Linked DNA regions of Caenorhabditis elegans. The protein of the gene in region 2 interacts with the protein of the main gene of each other region in a pairwise test. Each region holds a gene or a part of one and is shown on either strand. Other genes may lie near its edges. The genes, in order: sap-49, sorb-1, sas-5 and ttx-1.

Region 1 (3,700 bases), on a different chromosome or scaffold from region 2:
ACTCTTAATTTTTTATCTGGAAAAATCACACTACTCATTCTGTGAAATAATTTTGTAGATGAGTTTAACAACAATTATTTTTGACAATGGTGGCCATAATATGAAGATAGGTACGATAGACTCAGAGTCCCCTAGGTTTGTTTCTAATAAGAAAAATATCAATATAATTTAAATATTTTCAGATTAGTTCCAAACAGTATTGTGAAAGCGAAACATGAAAAGAAGCGGGTTTTTGTTGCACACGAGCAAGAAGAATGTTCGGACAAGTTTTCGCTATTCTATGTGCGACCAATTGAAAGAGGATATGTGGTGAATTGGGATACACAACAGCAAATCTGGGAGAAAACGTTCGGATCTATGGATGTGGAGGCGTCTACTTCTCGAATTGCACTCACAGATAATAACTATCTAATCCCAGCTCTTCCTGATGTCTCTAGTGAAATATTGTTTGATTATTTCGGCTTCACAGAGGTACACAAAACGTCTGCTTCGACTTTGGTGGCAAAACATTCAAATAAAATCAACAACGAAAAGTGTGCAGTTGTTGTGGATTCCGGGTTTTCATGGACTACGGTAGCTTCATTTGTGAATGGAATGCTTATTCAGGATAGTGTTATAAGGTTGGAAAGTGTTTTCAAACTACAATTAGCTTTATTTTTAAGGATCGATGTTGGTGGAAAAGCGTTAACAAATAAATTGAAGGACTGGGTATCTTACCGACAATTGAATGTTAGCGAAGAAACATACGTTATCAACGAATGTAAAGAGGATCTTTGCTTCGTCTCACAAAATTTTGATGAGAGCATGAAAGAGGCTAGGTAGGTATAAAAATGAAGAATACTAATTATATTGTTTTTATTCAGGAATCGATTTCAAGAAAATACAACAATGAAACGATATATTATGCCGGATTTCCACTCGACATTCCGAGGTGTAGTGAAAGACGTTAAAGAGCCACACGATCCACAAATTCCTTCAATTCATTTGGGAGTTGAGAGATTCGCCATTCCGGAAATCTTATTCAAGTTAGTAATTTCGGCAAAAAGTATAAACTATTTTATCTGTTGCAGTCCCTCGGATATTGATATTGATCAATGTGGTGTCGCAGAAGCTGTTATCGAGAGTATTTGTCAATGTCCAGAAGCATTACGGCCTGCTCTGGCAGAAAATATCATCGTGATTGGCGGATCGTCGTGCTTCCCAGGATTTCGTGAACGCCTGGAACGAGAAGTTCGATCAATGCTGCCAGCAGAATATGGATTGAATGTTTCAAATGACGTAATAAACCCACAAACTCATTCCTGGCATTGTGGTCAAGAGCTTCTCACTGCTTCTAAAGTTCCATGGATCAACCGAAAAGATTGGGACGAACGAGGAGACTCGTTGGAGTTCTCTAACTTTTTCCAGACTCTTGTGCAATCCGATGAACTGAAGGGAACTCGTAATTTCGATGATCAGAGGGAGAAATCCCCAAAGGAAGATGAAGATTTCTGAACTGATCTCTTATCACTTTAAAATAAACATGTTTTATATATATATATGCCAAAATATTTTTTTTTGAGATCAGAGGTTTATTTTCCTTTGTTGGACTTATTTTTTTTCATGTGCTGTTCATTTTTTAAAAATCAATATTTCAGATGTCAGCAGGGCCGATAGTGGAAAGAAACCAAGATGCAACAATTTACGTTGGTGGATTAGACGAGAAGGTGTCAGAGTCCATCCTATGGGAACTTATGGTACAAGCAGGACCTGTTGTCAGTGTCAATATGCCGAAAGATCGAGTAACTGCCAATCATCAAGGTTTCGGATTTGTGGAGTTCATGGGAGAAGAAGATGCAGATTATGCAATCAAAATTTTAAACATGATCAAATTATACGGAAAGCCAATTAAAGTAAGCTATCAAATATGTTTAGTTTATTATTTAAAAAAATAATATTCAGGTGAACAAAGCATCGGCTCATGAAAAGAATATGGATGTTGGTGCAAATATTTTTGTTGGAAATCTGGATCCAGAAGTCGATGAGAAATTGCTATACGATACGTTCAGTGCTTTTGGAGTTATTCTTCAAGTTCCAAAAATCATGAGAGATGTTGATTCGGGAACGTCTAAAGGATTCGCGTTCATCAACTTCGCTTCATTCGAAGCTTCAGATACAGCATTAGAAGCTATGAACGGCCAATTTCTTTGCAATCGAGCTATCACCGTCTCATACGCTTTCAAGAGAGATTCAAAAGGAGAAAGACACGGAACAGCAGCGGAGCGTATGCTGGCTGCACAAAATCCACTGTTTCCAAAAGACCGGCCACATCAAGTATTTTCTGACGTTCCACTTGGTGTTCCAGCTAACACACCTTTGGCCATGCCAGGAGTTCATGCTGCTATTGCTGCTCATGCAACAGGACGCCCAGGCTATCAACCACCACCATTGATGGGAATGGCTCAATCTGGATATCAAGGACAATATCCACCAGTACCACCACCTCCACCAAGTGTGACACCAATGCCACCTCCAATGCCGCCAACGCCAGGAATGACTCCTCGTCCACCACCACCACCATCATCTGGAATGTGGCCGCCACCACCACCGCCTCCACCAGGAAGAACTCCAGGACCACCAGGTATGCCTGGTATGCCTCCACCACCACCACCATCACGATTTGGTCCTCCAGGAATGGGTGGAATGCCGCCGCCACCTCCACCAGGGATGAGGTATATATTTTTGTTCTAAGTTGAAAATATCGTTCATGTTCACCGTTCGAACTTACACAATTTTTCTTTTCAGATATCCGGGAGGCATGCCGCCACCACCACCGCCGCGATATCCTTCTGCTGGACCAGGAATGTATCCACCTCCACCACCAAGTCGTCCTCCAGCACCACCATCTGGTCATGGAATGATCCCACCTCCACCACCTCCATCATAATTACTCGATCGGATTGGAATACCTTAATCTTTATTTTCAGAAACTTTTGTTTTTCACGAAAAGATCTTCATTTCAGCTGTTCTAAACTTTTACATTTTAAATTATTTCGTTTTATTCTCATTCCATAAACCAATTTCTATTTGATGTCAATTCAACTTCAATCATATTCCACAACCATCATCTCCTCCTCTCTCTTATCAATCTCATCACAATCACACCTTTCTTTTCCAATTACCACTTCGATACGTCAAGTCACGTTCTTCAGCGGTTTTTTGTTGCATTTTAATGTTCTCACACAATCTGTACGCCTTTTTCCACTATTTAAGACATCATTGATGTTCGCTGGAGCGGCAAATCCTATGAACTATAGGCAAGTTCAACGCCTAATAGAGACGTAGAGTGTAAGTGAGGTTTCCGGGAGAATTCGTCTCGCACCTTCCTCTCATTGATTCTATCAACGAACGGAACGAGTTAAACTAAAAAAAAAAGTGTAGAGAAATAGAGAAAGAAGGGGAGAGAAAGAACATGGACAATGACTGTATTCAACCGGAGGACACACCAAAACTAATTAGTCACCCGAAAACATCACCTACAATCATCACATTGCTTCTTCGCACTTTTTCCAGAAATATTATTCCAGTATCATTTTGATTTTCTCCAATTCAGTGTTTTTGTGTTGTAGAATTTTCAGTTTATTATTTTTGGAGTTCCGAGAGTATCTTCAGTTCAAATTTTGCACATTTATCTCCTTATTTAAATGAAATTGCTACTACA
Region 2 (4,730 bases):
ACCTATCATTTTTGAATCCTTGTTCTTTATAAGACGGAGTTGATGTCATCGGCGATCGATTTTGCTTCTCCTCAAAGCTGGCTCCAAAAAATAAATTGCTCGGCGATTGACTCGCCAAGTTGGGTGATGACTTGGAAAGGTCAATTGCCACTGGTTTATGCTTCCTTCGAATAGTTCCATAATGATCCGTCGAGCTTGTAGAGTAGGGAGCCGGGGATTTTGATTTTACGAGAAGTTGGGAACTTTCCAAATCGATAGATCTCTTGATTTCACTCTCTTTTTCTGGAGAAAATGGTGGAAAATTTGTTGGTTCAAATTGTTTAGCAACAGGAGCCACGTGGCCAAACGGTGTGAGTTCTGAATTGAATATTGAGCTTGATGGAGGCTGAGGCTCAGGTTGTTGATTCTGCTGATTATTTCCATTTTTCAAATTTTCAGTCGATGACGTCATCACTTTTTCAGACAAAGATACACACGGTGTCTCACTTCCCTCTTTCAATTCATTTTTCTCTTCCATTAACTTTTTCCTATATTGCTCATAGAGATGCCGTTGCTCGGCTGCCGCAGAAAATCCAGCAATTTCTGAAGATTCTCCAAATGTCGAGATACACGAGGAAATAATTGATGCACTGTCATCAATGTCGAATTCTCCGAGGTGATGACGTGGATCGAGCGCCACGTCATACGGGATTCGGTAGGACGTTTTTTGAGATTGCTGGGGTTGAGAGGGGGCTTTGGAGCTCTGTAGGACCTGAGCCTGAAGGGCTTGAGCAGCAGAGTGTGGAGGCTTTGTGGAAGGAGGCACTGGTGGTTTCGACTCATTGTGCTTTACTTGACTGTAACTGGCCGGTGGAACCTGGAAGTTGCAAAAAATAATTCTGCTGTTTCAACTTCATAACATAATGCGAAGATGTTAATAGAGTCGGTCTTTCAAATTTCCCCGCTTCGAATTTCAAGTAACTGATTTTGGCATTCCGTTTGCAAGAAATTGGAGGTATCAACACCGAATTGAATAAAACTTTATAATTTTATTGATTTTCCTGGTTAGAATCAGTTCTGCGCGGAAAATCTTTTCAGCAAATGTACAAACCTACGTATTTTAGTTTGGTGATTATATTTTTTTTGTATCAAAAATCATTACAGAAATGTAGGACAAGGTTTGTTCTATGAGTTCTATCTGATAATGATATTTATTTTTTCTGCAAAGTTCGAAAATTATCTCAAATAGTGCCTGAGTTAGGGTTTGCCGTGAAACTTTTTCAGCAAATGACAACTTTCAGACACTATTTGACCCAATTTTCATAGAAAATTGAAAAAAAAAAAATAGAAACCACAATTTTTTCTGTTTCAGGAATTTTATGTCATGACAATAGAACAAGCGAAAAATGTTTATTGGTTTCAATCTTCAGTGTGTCGCAACAAGTCTAAGTAAGAGAATAAGCACTAAATTTTTTAGAACAACATGAAATGTCTTGGCGATTTTTCAGGTCATTTGCATTTGCAAGTTTTAAAAAGTACTCAAAACATTTTTCCTATAAGTTTTCCTATCACAAAAAAATAGTAATGTAGTTTTCATAGACAACACGAAAAAGTATTTTCATTGTTTTAAATTTTTGCAAATCTTCAAACTGTACACAAAATTTTAACGTTTTTTAAAACAATTTTGCGTAAATTTTTATCTACATAAGGATTTTTCATAAACTTCCCGGAATGTACAATTTTCAAAATAGAACTGAAAAGTTGTGTTTTCGGAAAATTAAAAAGAAAGTTCTACTGTTTCGTGAAAGCCATTTAGGACATTTACAATTTTCCGGTTTGATCTGATCGGTTTGTTCTTTTTTAACTTAAAAACTGTTAAATTTTTGAAATTTCGTATATAGAAGCTATTATTACTTGTGAATTGTATTTCTGAAAAGTAGAAAACTTCAAAACTCAAAATAATTTTGCTCATATTTTACAATTTTTAGTGAAGCTTTAGTCGATAATAATTTCTAGAAAAAAACTCACGTGTTTCACTCATAGCTTGTAAAAAAAGCCAAAAAGAAAATAATATCAGTAAAAAATGGTCAGTAATAACTAAATTTAACTATTTCAGCACATTGTTTTCAGTTTGAAAAGTTCGTTGCTTTATTGTATCGCTGTTTTTTTCAAAATAAAACTCACTCCTTGAAAATATTTATTTGGATTGACAGGACCATCAAGTACTCTTCCCATATTATGCTTGTTAAGATGTGGATCCACATATCCATTTGGTTCGTATACTTTTACATTTTTGGCCCAGGAAGGAGTTGAGTCTGGAATTTATTATTTTATTGAACATCAAAACATTTGGATTTTTTGAATATTGCTGGTTAGGAGAGACATCAGGAGTTGTTTTCCGCAAAATCAGAAAAAATTATACAAAAAAAACAGTTTTAGATAGTTTATAAGACTACTTCAAAACTTTATTGTTACTGTTTGCAGCATTCGGACAGAAACCAAAATATCTTACTATTAATAGAAAAAATGACAAAAATCTAATTGCAAAATTGCTGCTTCATCTTCCAGGTCCGTCGAGGTACCAGGTCTCAGCCAATCGTGTATTTGTTGACTATCTTGTTGACTAACATTTTTTACAGTTTCAAGGAATTCATATGAGCTATGTGTTACTTTCCGAAAACTATTATTTCGTAGCTTAATACATAGAACGCCTAGAAAAACAAAACTCACCAACAGGCGGAGGCGCTGGTTTCTGATATCTGGAACTATTTCCAGTTGGTGTCTTCATATCCAACTGCCCATGTATCACATTTCTCAACGCCGCCACATTTCCCTTCGGTGAGAATTTATCAGAATCTTCAAAGGTGTCAAAGTTGTAGGCATCTGCTGCAGGATTTAGATATTGACCAGATGGCTGTTGTGGTTCTGATGAGTTCTGGAAATTAATTAGGGATTGTGGAGTAGATTAATTGAAAGCTCTTACCGCCAGGTTTGACCCGAATGGATGAGGATGATGCATCATTCCTGGAATATGGGAGTTTGAAGAATTGTATAACAAAATAAAGGAAAGAATAAATGAAAAATGTGAAATACGGAAGACTAATATGTTCTGTCAGAAATGGGATTTTTTTTTGAAATTTGTACTGTAACAGTTTTTATAGTTCTCGAACTTTACCCAATCTGACAATAATTGCAGATTCATGGGATGTACACTATTCAAGAATATTTTCCATTTTCCAGAAAACTTCAGACATCTTGAAAATTTGTTTTAATTTTCAAAATATTTTCTCACTAGATTTTTAAATTCTATAAAGATTTTGAACCCAATTTCCAACTAAATTTGACATTTAGGAGCGCCAGTAGAATGCATTTTTGGAATTATAAGGATGGTACTTAAATGACCATATTGTCAATTTTTGTTTTGACTGTTTCATTTAAGTGTTAAAGCTCCCACAATGGATTCACGTTCAATTGACGCAATCCTTAAAATCATAATTTTTGTTGAAATGTTAATGCTTGTGTTAAAGTTATTGTTTTTAAAGTTTTGAACACCTTTTGAGACTTGAATGAGAATGTATCTAGTTTTTAAAAATAGCTTCCAAGACCGGGTAAAATGTGCACGGCAATCACAATTTTGCCATTGCTGGAATTGAAAAATGCTAATTTTTGTTTTCTTAAAATAGAAAAGACACTTGTAATTTTTTAATTTTAAAAATGAAAATAACATTCTGGAACAAGTGTTTAAATTTTATACTGTTTCTTTGAAATGGTAAAGCTTTTACAACATTTTCAAATCTATTCCACCTTTGTCCATGAGTATGTAAGACGTACAACTTTTGAAAAATGTTGTCTGGTCACTTGAGCAGTTTTTTCAAGAATAGTAAAACTTTTAGGTTAAAAATTTTTTATAACAGGGAAAAGGCCACATTTCATCTATCAGAATTTGGGGTTCGACCCAAAAAATTATTTCTACGATTTTTTACACTTTCATTAAGTTTAAATAATTAGAACTCAATGATTGTAGGAGTTGCAAAATCAGTTATGTATTTCACTGAAAACTAAAATTATTGAAAATTAAAATAATAAAAATTACCGTTTCACAGTTGTAATAGTTAACAAGCCCGAAACAGTACTAGGTTTTACGAAAAGTTGTTATTTTGAAATACGACAAAAAAACCAAAATAAGAAAAATTTTATCAGTAAATCGAGTGATATTATTGTTGCGAGAGCCACACTTAGAGAAACTAAGAATGTCCCTCATTGCGTCTTCTGTCCCCGGGACACGAAACAGAATCACATTCTCTCAGTGTCTGCGTCTCTCTATCTTTTTGCTCACTATATACATGACTTTACACACTTTTCGTCTTTCTTCTTTCAATTTTTGTTAAGCAATTGCCGGATGGACCTGCTGAAGAGAAAGAGAATGAGAGGAGAGAAGATGGAACTGCTCTCAAGTGACCAGACAAACTTTTTCATCACTATGATCATGATCATCACACCTTTGATTTAGTACTCTTTTGGCCAGAAGTAACCGTTGTATTTAAAAAAAGGTGGAGCGCAAGCTTATTAGTTTCAAAGGAAGAACAGAAACTTTAACACTTCATAGAAACAGTTAAAATTTGCAAAAAATTTGTTCAAAAAAATTATAGTTTTTTGCCGTTCGCATCACAATTTGCCATCGAAGAATAAACCTAGGAGACTAATTGTGCTTAAAAATAGTTTTTTTATTAGTTACCAAATCTATAAAAATG
Region 3 (4,404 bases), on a different chromosome or scaffold from region 2:
AAGATGAACAAGACACACCTAATCTTTTATATTTTCTAATTTTCCACCTACTCTCTATAAATAATCAATGTCAATATTTACTAGATTTTGACAAAAGAAATTCAAAAAATTCGGGTGCAAAAGTCAACAGGAAGAGAAATCAAAAATAGAGAAAGGTAGTGATAGTTCAAAACGCTTGCTTGCATATGGAAAATCAAGTGAAAGTGTATCTTTTCAATTGGAAAGTCTGAAGACAGCAAGTGTTTTAATACAGGAACACATGTGTACATGCCATAACAGTTTGTTTTAAAAGTTATGAACTTGTAGTTTAAAAATTCGTAGAACTTCTCCAATTAACACGTACACTACTAGAATTTTCATTTTTATTTCGTACACAAATGAAACTCTTGAAGGAGACCGATGGAAAGGTCAAGTTGGTACTTGTCAAACAATGACAGAAGTGTGAAGTGCTGAAAATCGAATTAAGTTCGAGACTATCTCGATCATATGATCAAATGAGAAAGAATCGATGAAATTCAAAATTTATTCAGGTCACAGCTGGAAGTAATGGTTTTAGTACAATTCACAGACATTACACGTAGTGATTAATGATAATTTTAAAACGTCAAGAGTTAAACACATTTGATATCATTTCCTGCGAGCGTATTTTTCACGAATACGGCGTTCTCGTTCAGCTGGAGTCTCAGGTACCGCTTGCTCGTGATAGTTCTGTCCCCGTTTATTGACTACAACATCCTCTTCATGATCTGATGAATCTTCCACGTAGTATCCAGTTCGATTGTTTCTAGCTGTCGTTTTTCCAGCTGCTTCTGACGGATAATAGCTAATACTTTGACCCTTTTGATAGAGTGAGTGACATGGTTGATCCGGTTCGTAGGTACGGTATGAGTCAGGAGCTAGAAAAGGTTTTTTTGAATAGTGAAGAGACTTCTCATTTTTGACTTTTAATTCAAATTTTTCAACTGATTTGAGGATTTCATCTTAAAATCATTTCGTAGTATAAAGTGTTTTCACTACGAATGGTTATCAACTTTCAAACATTTTTAATGAATTATTTGATACATTTTGGAATGCGTGAATTATTATATTTATACAATTCTAGCGGACGAATTCTGTGTTTGAATATTGAAAAATTAAATTACCACGATTATCACGTCTCTCATTTGTCCACTGTCTAGAATCAATAGAAGCGAGTCCGTTGTCATATCGAATACTTCGTTCTACCGTAAGTGTTTCTCTCATCAAAGCAGGATTCACACCAGATCCGTATCTAACTTCAGACATTGGTGGTGGTGGAGAATATGCAGCTCTGTTAGCATCACATTCAGCCTGAAAACAAACTATTTCTATCGGATTTAAATACACTACTCACGTCTGCTAGAACATTATCAATTTGTTGGCGAAACATTGGGTCCGAGCGAAGGCGTTGCTCAATAATTGTTAATGCTTCTGGAGGTATAACACCGTCTCTTTTGATAACTTCTCGTGCCGAAGCGATCTTAAAACGGAGTACTTTTTGATTTATTTTTTATCTGAATTCTCACTTTACTAGCTGGCTTCTGCTGTCTTGATTGACGAGGACTCTCATGAAAATTTTCTTTGTCTTTTTCAACTGGTTCGATCGCTTGCTGTTTAGGAATCGTTATCTCTGAAAAATTATTATTTATTGAATTTATGGGATAATATATATTCAAACATACTCTGAAAGAAGTTTGACATCAATTCTTGCATTTTAACAAGATTTTGAGCATTGAGCTCTTCTTGTCGCCGGGCCGTTTCTTCTTGAATCTCTGTTCGTATCGTTTGCAGTTCTGTTTTCATAGCGTCCCGCCAGTTTTCAGCTGCCTGTTCTTCAGTCGTTGTCGTATTTTGGGCAGACATTGTTGAAGCAAGCACTTTTTTTGAATTCCGAGATGTTCCCTGAAAGATAATTTAGTGGAATTATGCCATGGAACAATTTTAATTTAATTACCTCGACAGTTTGGGAAACGTTAACTGTTTTTCCAAACGCAACTGTTTTTTGGCGAAGCGCTGGATGCGAAGGTGGCTCTTTTCTTGGTTTCGGAGCCGAAAGACACGATTTTTTCTTGGCTACTTCTACAGCGGCGACAATTGGCTGCGTAGATGGTACTGGGGGTTTTGTCCTTTCTTGTGGAAGCTGAAGAACTTCTTGAAAGGCAGGGACTTCAGAATCTTCGAAGACTCTCGGTTGATCCACAAACTCCTGGACTAAATTGGCAATTTTAACACTTTTATATCGAAAACAACTCACCAGTTGGTTTTTTGAAGTAAATAGAGCAGGGTAAGTCGTCGTAATTATTCATTCCCGCTTAATGCGAGGTCATTTCTGTTAAAACTATGAAATTGGAAAATAAAACGTTTTTTCTTTAAAATTGGCGCGTTGGTGTCGCGGGGGCGTGGCCTCTGCTGCAACCCCCGCGCACATTTTTTGCAAGATGAGCGCGCACATTGTATATTTTCTCACATTTCTTTTCGCATGACCATTCGGGGACGAAAGAAGATTGTAATTAAATTAAATGATATTATTATAAAACAACAGAATTTTCTACTTTCTCATATTATCTGCAATTTAGAAGAATGTTCCTGATCAGTTGAACAAATTTAGATTGACAGATTTTCAAACAAAAAATCTTCTCAACCTACACAATTTTCCAATGTATTAAAAGTATTAAAAAACAAGTAAACACTCCCGACTGGTTTTCTAAAAATTCCGAGAAAATTTTTCCTCTGTACACAGATAGACAGCGAGACACAGAAAAAGTGTCTCAAAATAAATCAGCGTGGTAAAAAAGTCAGTGCGAAGGAGCCAACAGTATATGTACATTATACACACAATGTTTGCTCCGTGGGGTCAGATCAAAACTGGAATTTGGATTTGACTGTTGGTGGTGTTGCACGGTAGCAAGAGCTTACACGATTGCCAGTACAATAGTTTAAAGGGGCGGGAATCTCGATGGCCTATTTAAAAGAAATCCAGAACTCGAGTACAACATTTTCACGTGGCAAAACTAAAATGGCACTTAGATTGGCTGTGGTGAGTTTTAAAATCCTTTTAATTATGAGGTTTGAAACTTAGTTAAATTAAAAACTACTAAATCCAGAAATAGATCTACTTTAGATCTACATACGACTTTCAGTTAATTTAAATGTAATTATTATTTAGATTCTCTCCCTATTGTCTTTCACTGCGGCTCAATCGACTTCTGTTGACTGTTTTGCTGCACGGGACTCTGGAAATACTTGCGCTGAGAACAGTTCTTCTAGAATGTTCTATTATCTTCCAAGACTTGGAACGTGTCAACCATTCATGTATCAGGGATGTGGTGGTAATAGTAACCGGTTCAGTAGTGCACAAGAGTGTAGATCAGCTTGTACCAATGCTCAAGCTCAAAGAGACTCGGAGTCAAGTGATGAAACCGTTCAAATGAAGTGTAAGTGAGGTTAGCTAGTAACTATGGCAATTATTCTAAAAATTTTAAGCTGCTTGCTCTGCTACCTATGACACTGACCACTTGACACCAGTGAGATGCTCAGCAGGAGCTAATACTTGCCCACAGGGTCATAACTGTATTCAATCATTCTGTTGTCCAACATCCAGTAAGCATCAAATGTTTAAATGTTTTATTCTTAAATTTCAAATTCACAGACTATCTTTGCAACTTGACATATGACTCTGGAAAGTTTGCTGTCGGAGGAGAGAAAAGTGACAAATACTTCTGGGTTCCAAAATACACAACTTGCATGCGTTTCTCATTCTATGGAACTCTCGGAAATGCCAACAACTTCCCCAACTACAACTCATGTATGGCAACCTGTGGAAATCAAACAAGAACTTCCCAATAAGACGATATTTGAATTCCTGGAATTATCTGTATTATGAAAAACAAGTTATTTTTAAGAGTTGGCATTTTTGTAGTTTTTTTTCGGGTAATTTTCAAAGTATGATTTAACTGTATTATCATCCACTCATAAACAATTTTTATCTCATTTCTTTTAAATATTTTTTATATAATCTAAAAAATAATTTTGAATGTGATGCAAAAATAATAATTTATATACATTAAGGCAACGTTTTTCCTTTTGGGAACTACAAAACTTCAGTTATATTTATCCTGTAATTTGTCTCCATGTCAAGAGTATGGTTTTCAATCAAAGTACAACCAGGTTCGTTTATTATTCAGCCCTAGTTTAAAGTAAAATCTATCACTAAAAATAATACCCCATTTTCTCTAATAGTATTGCGACCCACACCTATAATATCAAACTCACATCTATAACCAGTAAAAAATTTTACAGAAAAATATCTATAGAAATACTTCCTTTTTTCTCTTTATCTGAACCTCGTTTGCAAACTCAACACGGAAGTAACTAGAACCAATTGCA
Region 4 (4,721 bases), on a different chromosome or scaffold from region 2:
AAAAAAAGTTGCAATTTTAAAAGTCAATTTTCCTGATAGTTTTGAAAGGTTTGTATTTAAATTTATATGTTATCGAAAGCCCAATATGTGATCTACTCAAAAAATTAAAAAATTAGCAGAAAATATCAGGCTTAAGTAAAGTTATCAGTGCTCAAAGTATGAGAATAACCAGCAAATTTTTTTTGTTGTTTTTTATTTTTATTTTTTTAAAAACTTTTTCGAACCGAAATGTCAAATTTTGAAGGAAAGATTTTCAATTTAAATCTAACATAAGAAATTAAAATTTATCCCGCATACTTACCCATTGTATCACTTACGCAGCAGTTACCAATACAAAAAAGAATCAGGTGATAACAAATGCACAAGTAAGTATGCGGGGTGATGGGGTGGGGGGAGGGAGGGGACCCCCCGAAAAAGCTGCTAAAATCCGCTTTTTAGGATTATGTCCTTAAATCTTAGGGTATTAAACACTCGAACCCGGTGGGGGGGGGGGATACCTGGGGCACCCAAAAGAAGGGCTCATCCCTCCTCACGGGGCATCAAAATGCGATTTTCTCGGCCAACGCCAATCCATTCCAAATAAACCGCCCATTTTTCTCGCCGCTCTCTTTGTTTTCCATGCTTTCTACGCTTTGTGACCGTACCACGTTTGGCTCCGCCCACTTTTCGGGCCAATGTTGGGGACACGGCGGCGGGCGGGGGGAGGAGCCCACCCCTGCAGTTTTGAATTGGTGTGGGTGGGGGGGGGGCCTTATTAATTGCTTTATTGATTTTTTTAAAAGGAAACTGTAGGTTTTAATTGTGCACTGACCCTATTTTTAAGAAATTTAGTTAGAAAGTGTGAAATTATTTCCAACAAAAAAACAACTTTTTTTTGGAAATTTTTTTTTGATCTATTTATGCTTATCCTGTGCACTTTAAAAAATTGTGTGCATTTTGAAATTCTTGGAAAAGGACATAAAAAAATTTTCAAACATTTTTAAAAAATTTCAGGCCATCATAACTTTTTTCTAAATTGATCTATTTTTATAAGTCTAGAATTGTTTAAATGTTTATTTTACGTACTTATAGAATTTTTAATTATATATGTTAAAAAACTGAGCAAAAATCTTGAAAGTTCGACATCAATTGTTTAATTTTTTAATTTTCCAAAAAATTGAAATTTTCAACCCCAAATTCAAATCTTCATAACTTTCTTCAAAATCAACCGACTTTGAATTTTGTTCATCTTTTTAATATTAATTTTTGTGCTTTTTAAGTATTATTTAAACAATTCTATTAAAAACCATATACACATACCGAAAACTTTTTTTTTTTGGTTTTAGAAACTCTCAGTTGAATTTTTTTTTAATTTTAGCTTTATTTTTAAACCTTCATAACTTTTTTCAAATTTGGTCAATTTTAACTTTAATTATACTATTTGAAAGCTTATTACTGTGTTATTTAGGCAATGTTTTTCAAAAAAATTCACTATGCAGTTGAAATTTAGACATTTTAGAGGAAATATTTATGAAAAAATTTTTTTTTTGGCCCCCAAAAAAACGCAAAAAAAATTTTTCCCCCAAATCTCCCGCAACCGTAATTTTTGATATATAATCAACCGGAGCGTGTCTTGTTATTTCAACGCATCCGTGACGCTGCTCCGCGAGCACATCGTGATGAGCGCTACTGTTTGCCTCCAATTTTGGGACTGTGGTGTGGTACTGGCTACCGTAATCTCCCGTGTGTGTGTACCTTTCTCATCAAACAAAACAATTGATTTAGTTTGGGTTAAGCAATGGAATCTGTTTCGCTTTTTGCTTGTTGGAGGAAAAATTTTTTTTGGGAAACTAAATTTTTTTGGAATTTTTTTTAACCTACCTAGAATTTTTACAGTTGGCGTAAAATTGTGCACAGTTCACAAAATAAAATTATACTAACCTAAAAGCTTGAAAATAGGCGACTCAAGTATATATGGTAACTTGGTAGTATATTAATTTTGAGCAGATCTATAAAGTGTCCCATTGCGGTTTGATCTACAAAAAATGCGGGAATTTTTGCCCAAAACAATGTGACGTTAGCTGCTTTTATAGTCAATATATTTTTCTTTTGGATGTGGCTTAAACCTCGAAAATGAGACAATTTTAAACCAAGTTATGATAGCTTGAAAATTAAAGAAAAAATTCGGTAAAAAATTTTTTTAATCAGAAAATTTGAAATTTTCAAAGTTTTTAGATTTTTTTTGCAGTTTACAATACTTACTAGTGCTTGTTTTTCACAGATCTGGGCTTTAAATTTTACTACAAATAAGCTTTTTATGTACATTTCAAGCAAAGTTATGGCTAGTCAAAGTTTATGAAAAACTCAAAAAAAGTTTTGAAAAAAACATTTTGAAAACTTTTTTTGGTGACAAATCTTTGAACGTTATACATACTGCTCAAATTGCTCATTTTTTGAGCTTTATAACAAAATTGAAACTGGCTTCAACGGTCCATTTTCAGCAAAGTTACGAAGGTTTTACATTGGCGCCCCCGGTGAGGGGCGGAGCCTAAACTACAGTAACTGGCCACTCAAATTGTTTGAATTCAAGGGAATTTAAAGGTCTAAAAGCACAATTCGAAATGTTTTTAGGTATGTATATAGTTAAATAGCAGTTTGGAAATTTTTGAAAAAAAAAAAAAAATTTTGAATAAAATTTTTTTTTTCGAAAATTTGCATTGAATTTTTGTCTAAATTTTCAATTAAAATTATTTTAACTGCTTAATATTGTTTTCAAGCTGTTTTGCCTAAAAAACCGGCTTCAAGCCCCTCTAAACGGTTTTTAACGGGTTATCCTCCTAAAATACCATCTGAGATCTGAAATCTGAAATCTGAAATCTGAAATCCTAAGCTAAAGGCTTAATGGTTAATAAGCTTCATAGGCTACAAGCTACACAAAAAAATTTAATGGGACTTTAAAGGAATCGCAGAAAAAAATGCTTTAAAACTTTTAAGAAAAAAAATTTTTTTTGGAAATTATTTTTCGGACCTACCAATTCAACAATAGAGTCGGATGGAGCTGAGGAAGACGTCAAGGACATGAAGCAGGAATATATGACAAATGAAATACGGATTTCAGGGATTTTCGGGGCGGCTTCTGATCCATTTTCCAATCAGTCTAATGGAGCTACTACAGTACCCCCCGGGGATCCTGGGATGAGCTGTAGAGATTATCTTATACCTACGTAGGTATATATATATATATATATATATATATATATATATATATATATATATATATATATATATATATATATATATATATATATATGTTAATATTAATATGCATCATAATAATAATGGAAATTAATTTGTGAATATTGGGAAATTTTTCGACATATTTTTTCAGGGAACGCGGCGGTCTGGAAATTCTGAAAATTCTGAGAATCTGAAAAAAAATCTGAAAAAAATTTCGAAGCATAAATCAAATATTTCGAATATTTTAGCACCTGGAAATTCAAATTTTGAGAATTTTTAACGTAGTAAAAATTTGATATGAATTTTTTACCATTTTTCAAAAATTGTCAAAATTTCAAATTTTTTAAACTGCGATTTTCAAATTTTCAAATTAATTTTAACACATCATAGTTATACCAGTATTGTTAAAAATTGTCTCAGCTACTACAAAACAAAAATTATTACTTTGTAGGGTGCTCATGAAAAGAATCTATTCTAAAAAATTGAACAAAAAAAATTTTTGGAAAAAAAATTTTTTTGGAAAATATTTTCAAAATACATTTTTTCCAGATCTCAGTTTAATTTATACATGTTCACAAATTATAGGTGTTTAGCGAAAAATTTTAGCATCCCAACAAACTATGTTATGACAGTTTAAAATAACATAATAATTTTGAATTTTTTTTTTTTATTTTTCAATTTGATTTTTCAGGTTTTCAACTAAATTCTATCAAAAAACTTATAACATCAATCTTGTAGCAAATTTTTTCAGCTATCCAAAAACAATAAATTCCATTTCACAACTCCACAACAAACCAAGTTATGCGCCTTTAAACTAGTACCCCTCCACCCCTAGCAAGTGGTAATCCTTTATTGACTCTCGACTGACCAACCGATGTCCGTTTTCTCCTTGAAAAGTGTTAATACACTTGTCAAACTTTCCTCCCCATCTTTTTGCGGTATATAGTCTCTATATGTCGGCTGTCACTTAAAAGGACCCTGCAAACGAGTGCCGATGCGGGTGGGGGGGGGGGGGGGGAGGCATGTGTTATGGGTAAATAGACCGGAAACGAGAGGATACGGTGATTATGGTGTTAACAGTGAAGGGGTTTAGTAGGTGTTAAAATAGTGATAGAAAACTTTTGATAAACTAGAAGGAAATTTGAATTTTGGTTATTTGAAGAAAAAAATTTGAAAACTAAAAAAAAAATTTTTTTTTCGAGTATCACTTTTTGAAACCTTGTGATTTTTATTTTGTTATTTTTCAAGTTGTTCGAAATTAACGTTATCTTAAACAACTTTTCATGAACTAAACAAAAATCTATTTTTTATAATTATCGGGTCAATGTGTACTAAGTTATGAGCATTTGAAAATCAGTTAAAATTTCAAAAACAAATTTTTTTGAGAAAAACATTTTTGAAACTTATTTTTTCAATTTTTCTAAAAGCACCACAAAGATGTTCTAACATGGGTTTAATACAATTTTTAACCAGCTTTTCAAAAATTGTGTTATTTTTGTACAGAA

Evidence for each region.
Region 1: the proteins of sorb-1 (region 2) and sap-49 interact in binary tests that used the Caenorhabditis elegans proteins (3 or more experiments, as listed by UniProt).
Region 3: the proteins of sorb-1 (region 2) and sas-5 interact in binary tests that used the Caenorhabditis elegans proteins (3 or more experiments, as listed by UniProt).
Region 4: the proteins of sorb-1 (region 2) and ttx-1 interact in binary tests that used the Caenorhabditis elegans proteins (3 or more experiments, as listed by UniProt).

Annotation. Positions count from the first base shown.
Region 1 is NC_003280.10:8,033,705-8,037,404, reverse strand, and holds sap-49 (Splicing factor 3B subunit 4), read left to right. Parts: upstream 1-1,637; coding exon 1,638-1,892; intron 1,893-1,941; coding exon 1,942-2,711; intron 2,712-2,784; coding exon 2,785-2,926; 3' UTR 2,927-3,155; downstream 3,156-3,700. Other genes in the region: arp-6 (Actin-like protein C08B11.6), read left to right, coding at 59-135, 183-620, 663-818, 864-1,025, 1,071-1,494. UniProt on the Caenorhabditis elegans protein: Subunit of the splicing factor SF3B required for 'A' complex assembly formed by the stable binding of U2 snRNP to the branchpoint sequence (BPS) in pre-mRNA.
Region 2 is NC_003282.8:13,748,607-13,753,336, reverse strand, and holds the start of sorb-1 (SH3 domain-containing protein), read right to left. Parts: upstream 3,005-4,730; 5' UTR 3,002-3,004; coding exon 2,963-3,001; intron 2,915-2,962; coding exon 2,710-2,914; intron 2,685-2,709; exon of another isoform or gene 2,664-2,684; intron 2,479-2,663; exon of another isoform or gene 2,455-2,478; intron 2,295-2,454; coding exon 2,164-2,294; intron 2,153-2,163; exon of another isoform or gene 2,132-2,152; intron 2,078-2,131; exon of another isoform or gene 2,054-2,077; intron 1,841-2,053; exon of another isoform or gene 1,820-1,840; intron 1,582-1,819; exon of another isoform or gene 1,561-1,581; intron 1,548-1,560; exon of another isoform or gene 1,527-1,547; intron 1,411-1,526; exon of another isoform or gene 1,390-1,410; intron 948-1,389; exon of another isoform or gene 927-947; intron 857-926; coding exon 3-856; intron 1-2. UniProt on the Caenorhabditis elegans protein: Required for organization of sarcomeres in body wall muscles and for maintaining normal mitochondrial position in myocytes.
Region 3 is NC_003283.11:11,608,699-11,613,102, reverse strand, and holds sas-5 (Spindle assembly abnormal protein 5), read right to left. Parts: upstream 2,367-4,404; 5' UTR 2,325-2,366; coding exon 2,273-2,324; intron 2,230-2,272; coding exon 1,973-2,229; intron 1,921-1,972; coding exon 1,701-1,920; intron 1,649-1,700; coding exon 1,545-1,648; intron 1,499-1,544; coding exon 1,373-1,498; intron 1,330-1,372; coding exon 1,143-1,329; intron 897-1,142; coding exon 628-896; 3' UTR 507-627; downstream 1-506. Other genes in the region: piit-1 (BPTI/Kunitz inhibitor domain-containing protein), read left to right, coding at 3,035-3,055, 3,185-3,452, 3,502-3,618, 3,668-3,864.
Region 4 is NC_003283.11:20,061,116-20,065,836, forward strand, and holds the start of ttx-1 (Homeobox protein ttx-1), read right to left. Parts: upstream 3,062-4,721; 5' UTR 3,060-3,061; coding exon 3,012-3,059; intron 306-3,011; coding exon of another isoform or gene 302-305; intron 1-301. UniProt on the Caenorhabditis elegans protein: Probable transcription factor. Binds to a motif including the sequence 5'-TAA[TG]-3' in regulatory promoter elements.